2 linked regions of the Xenopus tropicalis genome follow. The protein of the gene in region 1 purifies or fractionates together with the protein of each later gene. This does not show direct contact. Links are inferred from orthologs where the notes say so. Each region holds a gene or a part of one and is shown in the gene's direction. Other genes may lie near its edges. The genes, in order: rcc1l and trub2.

What was found.
Region 2: the proteins of rcc1l (region 1) and trub2 purify together in Homo sapiens (affinity purification with mass spectrometry; 3 studies listed by BioGRID and IntAct, with this or other methods). This does not show direct contact. The link is inferred for Xenopus tropicalis from reciprocal best matches to the Homo sapiens genes RCC1L and TRUB2.

The regions. Positions count from the first base shown.
Region 1 is NC_030678.2:101,942,093-101,946,482, reverse strand, and holds the start of rcc1l (RCC1-like G exchanging factor-like protein), read left to right. Parts: upstream 1-1,368; 5' UTR 1,369-1,499; intron 1,500-1,868; 5' UTR 1,869-1,890; coding exon 1,891-2,169; intron 2,170-3,162; coding exon 3,163-3,292; intron 3,293-3,674; coding exon 3,675-3,803; intron 3,804-4,232; coding exon 4,233-4,299; intron 4,300-4,390. Other genes in the region: cep97 (centrosomal protein of 97 kDa), read right to left, coding at 301-334. UniProt on the Homo sapiens protein: Guanine nucleotide exchange factor (GEF) for mitochondrial dynamin-related GTPase OPA1. Activates OPA1, by exchanging bound GDP for free GTP, and drives OPA1 and MFN1-dependent mitochondrial fusion. Plays an essential role in mitochondrial ribosome biogenesis.
Region 2 is NC_030684.2:3,160,611-3,165,182, reverse strand, and holds the start of trub2 (mitochondrial mRNA pseudouridine synthase Trub2), read left to right. Parts: upstream 1-1,734; 5' UTR 1,735-1,890; intron 1,891-3,597; 5' UTR 3,598-3,643; coding exon 3,644-3,761; intron 3,762-3,940; coding exon 3,941-4,072; intron 4,073-4,572. UniProt on the Homo sapiens protein: Minor enzyme contributing to the isomerization of uridine to pseudouridine (pseudouridylation) of specific mitochondrial mRNAs (mt-mRNAs) such as COXI and COXIII mt-mRNAs.

The DNA.
Region 1 (4,390 bases):
CATTCACCTGAGTCCTATGTATTCTTTGTTTTTTGGATTGTTCATAGAATATAAACAGCCAGACAGATATTGCATTCAGTAGTAGTATTAGAATATTTATAAATTATATTAAAAAACAAAATTGTATATTGGAAAGCTGCTTAGATTTAGAATTTCTTTCAATGCACAAGTTTTGGGTGGAGGTGCCCTTTAATAGGGTAGAATGCCAGCAGAGATAGAAAAGCCTAGACAAGATGGGCACCCTATGGAGGGTAGACTGATAATCTCTTGCTGACACTGGTGAATAGACTTGCTACTTACCTTGACTCTCGCAAGCCAAATGTGCCACTGCCATATCAGCTGGGTTCCTTTATCTTAGCTTCGATCAGCCACGTATGTTGCCACAGTGGGACTACAGTGGTGTCATTTAGCTGCAAATCAATAAATAATGTATTCACTATATTTCAAAAAGTATTTCATGCTTATTCTCAGCATTCTAAAATGTATAAAAAAAAGAATGTATAAAGTGGGCTTATACCTGTATCCAGGGCTTCCACTGCTATACACACATTGTGTACTAAATGCATAACTGTCAGTTCAACAAAGAACATACTTTAGGGCTTCCCCACAACAGGTACAAAAGGAAGAAGCCTGCTTATCTCAATATGCAATTAGTACAACATGAAAGAAAAAATACATACGGTAGCGATATGTTCCCTCTTCTCAGCGTTGTCAGTTAAACGGTCACTATGGATGAAGCGTTGGGTTATGGGGATTGTAGTCCAGTGTTTAGGCCCCGCCTTGAATTTTACACACTAAAGAGAAAGCTCTCTAACACAGCGCTTGTGTCTTGCACTTCCTGTTCCATCGCCGATCTTAATGACGCCATCGACACTTCACTGGTCATATCTTGGAAAGGTGGACTGGAACAATTCCCCCCAATCTTACATGGCACAGCTAGCCTCTGAAGAGACTGATACACAGAGCCTTTGCACAGAATGGCAAAGTGACCAATTAAAAAAAATAGCACAGTAACCCCCCACTCTCAAAGAATAAACGGCTCCAAAATTTAATGATTAAAGCACAAAACGACTCCTATTTAGAATTACGAATCTGCAGTTCCCTCCTCGCTAGCTCGTTTGTTTACTTGGCCCTTCCCGGAAGCTACTGCTTTATCATGTTTTCTCCTCCTCTTTTGGAACTAGCGAATAGCTTAGAAGAGCTCTCTTGTGAATAACTGTAAACCAGACTATGATTGGCTAACTTAGATTGGCTAACTAAGATTGGCTAAGTTTTGGGCGGGGCTACGCTACAGCTAAAAATGAAAAATACAGTAAGGAGGGTAAATGGCAATGACCAAGACAGGAGGAAGTGGGAGGAGCAAGGATCGGGGGGGGGGGGGCGTGAATAATGATGGGGTTATAGAATGTAGGACTGCTGATGGGAATACACGTGCAGAAGAAAGCGCATTCAGGACTGCAGTAATATTAATGCATTCCGGCAACGCTTCAGTTTTGCAGGTGTGATAATGAAAGGGATGAACTGACCAATTATGTTCTTGTACAGGGCACCAAAGGGATAAGTGGGGGTTTGATATAGTCACGCTTCTTGTCCATAGGTATGAAGTTAAAATCAAGTACTACCCTTCCAGCAATCTGGGTAAAGGGACATCAATGTGCTCTGGGCCCTTCAGTAGTATATTGCAATATTGGGCTCAGCATTCTCTGTTAGGATGATGAAACTTATAGCTCACTAATAGACAGAAAGCTGTGGGATCATGCACAAACCTTTTCAAGTACACAGATAAGGCATCAGATCACCTCTTTGTAATAAAATGCAGTAAAATCTCAAGTGTGTTAATTATATGGGTTATGTATCCCTGGACATAGGTTTCATGACAACCACCTACAAATGTGGACTTCATTGTTCTTCAGAGGCCACTGTATTCTGAAATGCAAAGGTCACCTTCAGAGACATTTGTCTGCCAAAGTTAGCAAGAGCAGAGAACAAGATGAACTTCCAGTGTTTCAGTATGTGGGCGAGAGAGCAAAAAGGAAGGAGCGGGTATTCGTTTGGGGATTTTCTCACACAGGAGCATTGGGCATCCCCAGTTTTGTCATCCCTGAGACCGGAAGAAAGAAACCAAAAAAATTCCAGCTAACGCCCTACAGGTTGGATATGGATGAAAAGGTGAGGTATAGGGGAAGCTTATGTATAATCTACTTAGAAAAATAACAATCATCTCTAATTTACCAATCAATTTCCCCTTTATTACCAACATGTAGTAATACAGAAAATTACCAATTACCAATTTAGTAATTCCCTCATAGAGAAGTATTGTACTAAACCTAAAGGGATTCTCCAGACCCTGTCTGCTGTGCCTCCTTTATTTACATACTTTTGTATGAAGACTGAAGAAGGTTGGGCGATGCTGTTCTATAAATGAAAGCAGCAGGCAGGGTTGAGCTGGGGTAGCCGTATGGCGGTGGGTGGGTAGCATCCTATAAACTGCAAATTACTTGCAGTTTATGCAACTCTCTAACTTAATCATTACTCTACTAAAAGTAAACACAAATCAACTTCCCTTATTCTTACCTGGGTAACATTCCCTCTCAACAGGTTGTACTGACGGGGTGAGGTAGTAAAAGAGGAAGATGGTCTAACAGGAATTCCATATAAAATAATTTTTCTTCTTAGTTGTCACTTTTGCATCAAGGCCATTAAAATATTATTCCAGTTGTTTTATGAGCCTGGAACCAGATAGTTAACTTGGTCCCCCGATTTAAGTTTGCATATAAGATCAGGGGTTCACGCAAATTAAATTTAACAAAGTTTTGCTGGTGTGATATAACTTCCAAATCAACCCAATCACTGGATACTTGACCGAATTCAGCTCCTGCTTTTAAAGACCACTATCTCTTATAACACCTGTAACCACTACATTACCTATGGCAGCAATTGCTAAAGACTTGTATATGCCCTGAACTCAAGTGAAGCAAACTTTCTCATACTTCCTTACTGTACTATTCTGATGTGATTGCTAAATTAAAATGTGCAAGTTGTTGTGTTGTCTAAATAATAAAAAGTATTATATAAAAAAAATATACGAATACTGTAATATGAAAGTTGCAAAGAACCAATGTTTTTTTTCTAACAATAATTAATTTTTATATGCATTTGTAGATTTCATCAGCGGCTTGTGGCTATGGATTCACTTTACTATCTTCAAAAACTGCTAACATCACAAAGATTTGGGGAATGGGGTTGAATAAGGATTCACAAATTGGATTTCATAGAAGCAGAAGAGATCGAAGTGAGTAATACTATACTATCTCTTCCCCACACTGTGTGAACCTCACTGTTCCTTGGGCATTGAGCATGCTTAACAGATTCCATTGGATGTCATTTTCTAATCCTACTGGCAAAAATACCTCTCAAAGCGAATTGCGGTGCCATGTATGCCATTCCACCAGCGATTTACATTCTAGCCGGTGGGATGGCATTGCAGGGAGATTAGTCACCCGCAACAACGGAGATTTGTCGCGGCACGACTAATCTCCCTGTGTGTCACTGCTCTAAAGGGTATTGTTGCCAACATTAACATTTTAATCTTACCAGCACAAGTCTCTTTTCCAAAAATGATTTGTTTTTTTATTAGTAGAAGTAATGACATGCAATTATTTGTCTCTTGTAAGCTAAAGGATATGAGTACATTCTGGAGCCATCTCCTATCCCATTACCATTGGATAAGCCCCAAGAGACCAAAGTGTTGCAGGTGTCTTGTGGCCGGGCACATTCGCTCATTTTGACAGACAAAGAAGGAGGTAACCAATACTATTGCATTATCTGTACTTTTAAAGTAGAACTGATATGGTCACAATTAGAATTGTTCTGAAAAGTAAAAACAACAAAGAATATGGCTTCTTCTGTAGACTTTTGCTTCGATACACAGTGAGCTTTAGCTTCCTACTATTTGGCTATTGGGATTTATTTGATAATGCCAAACAGGAGTGTTAGAACAACCTTGGATAGAAAAGATTCTTTGTATCCTAGTCACAACAGCCAGGCTTAATGAGAAGGACTGAGAGAAAGCTGTAGAAGCTAACTACACTAAAAGCAGATTGTTCTGCCTTAAAATATTGTTATACTGCAGCACTCAGAATTTCCTGACAGCTACAGCTTGGGAGGTTCAGTTGATTTCTAGATGGTTGTAAAACCTTTTCGCATGTATAAATTTGCCATTTATTTTGCAGTTTTCAGTTTGGGAAATAACTCTTACGGGCAGTGTGCACGAGAGGTTATTGAAGGAGAAATATATAGGTAAGTTTGTATTTTTAGTCCTTTCTGCAAATTTGCTAAAATGAGGAAATATAGTAATTTTACAGGGGTCATTGGTTATATCATTCATATA
Region 2 (4,572 bases), on another chromosome or scaffold:
CCAGTACCCCCTGACAGCAGCTATAGCCCTACTATACCCCCAGTACCCTGTAACAGCAGCTATAGCCCCACTATACCCCAGTACCCCCTGACAGCAGCTATAGCCCCATTATACCACCAGTACCCCCTGACAGCAGCTATAGCCCCACTATACCCCCAGTACCCCATGACAGCAGCTATAGCCCCATTATACCACCAGTACCCTGTAACAGCAGCTATAGCCCCACTATACCCCCAGTACCCTGTAACAGCAGCTATAGCCCTACTATACCCCAGTACCCTGTAACAGCAGCTATAGCCCCACTATACCCCCAGTACCCCCTGACAGCAGCTATAGCCCCACTATACCCCCAGTACCCTGTAACAGCAGCTATAGCCCCACTATACCCCCAGAACCCCCTGACAGCAGCTATAGCCCCACTATACCCCCAGTACCCCCTGACAGCAGCTATAGCCCTACTATACCCCCAGTACCCCCTGACAGCAGCTATAGCCCCATTATACCCCCAGTACCCCCGTGACAGCAGCTATAGCCCCACTATACCCCCAGTACCCCGTGACAGCAGCTATAGCCCCACTATACCCCCAGTACCCCCTGACAGCAGCTATAGCCCCACTATACCCCCAGTACCCCCTGACAGCAGCTATAGCCCTACATTTCTGCCACAGGTTATCGGGCAAAGAGAGATTTATGTTATGGCAAACTTTGGGTTCAGCCTCAACCGCACTTGCCGGGAAGCATTTTCTAGAGGCAATAGAGAAATACTGCCCCCTGGTGGCCAGGCTATAGAATGTGGGTGTTTGTATTTGCCAAGCAGTACATTTTGAATAAATCCTCTGTCAGGCTTAGAAGAACCTGGGTTTATATTTCTATTACCTGTAGCAGGAAGTGTTAGTGCACGCTTAAATACATCCCCAACTGGCAGCTAAATGCAGATTTCTGTACATTGGCATCAGTCGGCCACATTCCAACCATGGGGCAAGGGAAGTGCAACTGCATTCAGATAGGTGTCTGTCTGGGACACATTCAGTCCAATGGAATTCAAACACATGGAAAGCTAGGGAGTTGTTCACACTGACTAAATCACCTCGTGAAGCTACTGGTCAAACTAAGCTCAGCTTTAAGCCACACAGAAATCCCAGGTAAGTGTATAATGGGTTAAAAAGGAGCACATTTTTATCCTAAACTCTGCTTGCCGGTTGCTACAGTTTCAGTGACCCTAGCAACCAGGTTGCAAAGGTATTTGGCGCAGGTCAAAAACAAAAATACAATAGAAAGAGTGCCGCACATATATATTATATATATTAGCAACTACCTACATTTGCTATTGATAACTGAATATCCATATATCTATATATCATATGTATATATAATCTCAAAAAAGAAAAAATATATATATATTTGTATATCTATACATAATATATAGGGAGAGAGCCTAGCAGGACAATGACAACAGGAAGCCATAAGAAATGGCAGCTGAGGTATGTTATACACAGGCCCCCAGATAGATCAATGGATAAAAGCCCCCACTATTCCCACCACTAGACCCCTGTTTGCCCACATACATCCTTGTCCAGCAACCTTTCAGCAGACATAAAACAAAATCTCATAAATTGAACAAAAGTTATCTGTAAAATTTACCTGAGACTGCATGGGTGGAGCAATATGGCGCCTAACGCCCCTCAATCTATGAAACCTCCGCCATGTTGGTGCTCCCAAAGGCGGCGGAAACACGTGACGGTGCAGAGGCGGATGTTTATGGCGGCGCCCGTAAGCGGCATGAACTTGTGTTAATGTGACAGGCCGAGCTGAGGCTGCTGGGATTGGGGAATTGAGCGGCAGGTCCGACTGAGCCACTGCTGGTTATCCCTGTCACAGAGCCGCTTGTGTGTGAGTTCCTCTCCGTCACAGGGTTTCCTGGGGGTATTAACCCTTACTGTGTATTAGCCTGCACTTTGTATTTACCCCCAGTACCCCGGAACTATAGCACTGTTACCCCAATGTCTCTATATATCTGTAACCTTGTTATGGGCTAAGGGGGCCCAGCCTGAAGGCCAGTTAGGGGGGGATTTGGGGTGAGTGCTTATTTGTGCCCTGGGTACCTCTGGAACTATAGCGGGGTGACTGTTACCCCAATGTTTCTATATATCTGTAACCTTGTTATGGGCTAAGGGGGCCCAGCCTGAAGGCCAGTTAGGGGGGGATTTGGGGTGAGTGCTTATTTGTGCCCTGGGTACCCCTGGAACTATAGCGGGGTGACTGTTACCCCAATGTTTCTATATATCTGTAACCTTGTTATGGGCTAAGGGGGCCCAGCCTGAAGGCCAGTTAGGGGGGGATTTGGGGTGAGTGCTTATTTGTGCCCTGGGTACCCCTGGAACTATAGCGGGGTGACTGTTACCCCCAATGTTTCTATATATCTGTAACCTTGTTATGGGCTAAGGGGGCCCAGCCTGAAGGCCAGTTAGGGGGGGATTTGGGGTGAGTGCTTATTTGTGCCCTGGGTACCCCTGGAACTATAGCGGGGTGACTGTTACCCCAATGTTTCTATATATCTGTAACCTTGTTATGGGCTAAGGGGGCCCAGCCTGAAGGCCAGTTAGGGGGGGATTTGGGGTGAGTGCTTATTTGTGCCCTGGGTACCCCTGGAACTATAGCGGGGTGACTGTTACCCCAATGTTTCTATATATCTGTAACCTTGTTATGGGCTAAGGGGGCCCAGCCTGAAGGCCAGTTAGGGGGGGATTTGGGGTGAGTGCTTATTTGTGCCCTGGGTACCCCTGGAACTATAGCAGGGTGACTGTTACCCCAATGTTTCTATATATCTGTAACCTTGTTATGGGCTAAGGGGGCCCAGCCTGAAAGCCAGTTAGGGGGGGATTTGGGGTGAGTGCTTATTTGTGCCCTGGGTACCCCTGGAACTATAGCGGGGTGACTGTTACCCCAATGTTTCTATATATCTGTAACCTTGTTATGGGCTAAGGGGGCCCAGCCTGAAGGCCAGTTAGGGGGGGATTTGGGGTGAGTACTTATTTGTGCCCTGGGTACCCCTGGAACTATAGCGGGGTGACTGTTACCCCAATGTTTCTATATATCTGTAACCTTGTTATGGGCTAAGGGGGCCCAGCCTGAAGGCCAGTTAGGGGGGGATTTGGGGTGAGTGCTTGTGCCCTGGGTACCCCTGGAACTATAGCGGGGTGACTGTTACCCCAATGTTTCTATATATCTGTAACCTTGTTATGGGCTAAGGGGGCCCAGCCTGAAGGCCAGTTAGGGGGGGATTTGGGGTGAGTGCTTATTTGTGCCCTGGGTACCCCTGGAACTATAGCAGGGTGACTGTTACCCCAATGTTTCTATATATCTGTAACCTTGTTATGGGCTAAGGGGGCCCAGCCTGAAGGCCAGTTAGGGGGGGATTTGGGGTGAGTACTTATTTGTGCCCTGGGTACCCCTGGAACTATAGCGGGGTGACTGTTACCCCAATGTTTCTATATATCTGTAACCTTGTTATGGGCTAAGGGGGCCCAGCCTGAAGGCCAGTTAGGGGGGGATTTGGGGTGAGTGCTTACAGTTTATAGTATAATAACCACGTTACGGGAATCATCATTGCGCTTTGCAGAACATGAAGTGATTGGGTGGAATCATGGCCCAATTCGCCCCTGGGGTCTTCCGCACGTTACACGGGCTCTTCGCTGTGTATAAACCCCCCGGGGTTCACTGGAAGTCGGTGCGGGATACAGTGGAGACAAATCTGCTGAAAGGTAAGGTGCATTGGTGGTGGGGGGGTTATCTGCACGTTTATTATTATTAATGGGACTGGCCATATTGCACCAGACTAATATAAATTGTTAGATCCCTGTGTTGCTGGGCGGGCAGCGTTGGTCTAATTACAGAAGCCCGGATGGGTCAGTGTAACATTGTTTTTGGGTACACTTTACAGAACTGAATGCGCTAAAGCAGCGAGCCCCCCGACAGCAGATCCGATTCCTGCCGGCGGGTACAGAAGGGAGCAATGGGCTGGAGGTAACCAGAGTCCCCAGCGCTGTCCCAGTCCTGGCTGATCATGTCCTGGGTGAGTACCGATTGGTTCCCAGCGAGTATCTGTATTGGGCCCTTCCTACTTCCTTCTCCCCCTTCCTGCCTACCCTTTGCCCCCACTTCCTACTTCCTTCTCCCCCTTCCTGCCTACCCTTTTCCCCCCCTTCCTACTTCCTTCTCCCCCTTCCTGCCTACCCTTTTCCCCCCCTTCCTACTTCCTTCTCCCCCTTCCTGCCTACCCTTTGCCCCCCCTTCCTACTTCCTTCTCCCCCTTCCTGCCTACCCTTTGCCCCCCCTTCCTACTTCCTTCTCCCCCTTCCTGCCTACCCTTTGCCCCCCCTTCCTACTTCCTTCTCCCCCTTCCTGCCTACCCTTTGCCCCCCCTTCCTACATCCTTCTCCCCCTTCCTGCCTACCCTTTTCCCCCCACTTCCTACATCCTTCTCCCCCTTCCTGCCTACCCTTTGCCCCCCTTCCTACTTCCTTCTCCCCCTTCCTGCCTACCCTTTGCCCCCCCTTCCTACATCCTTCTCCC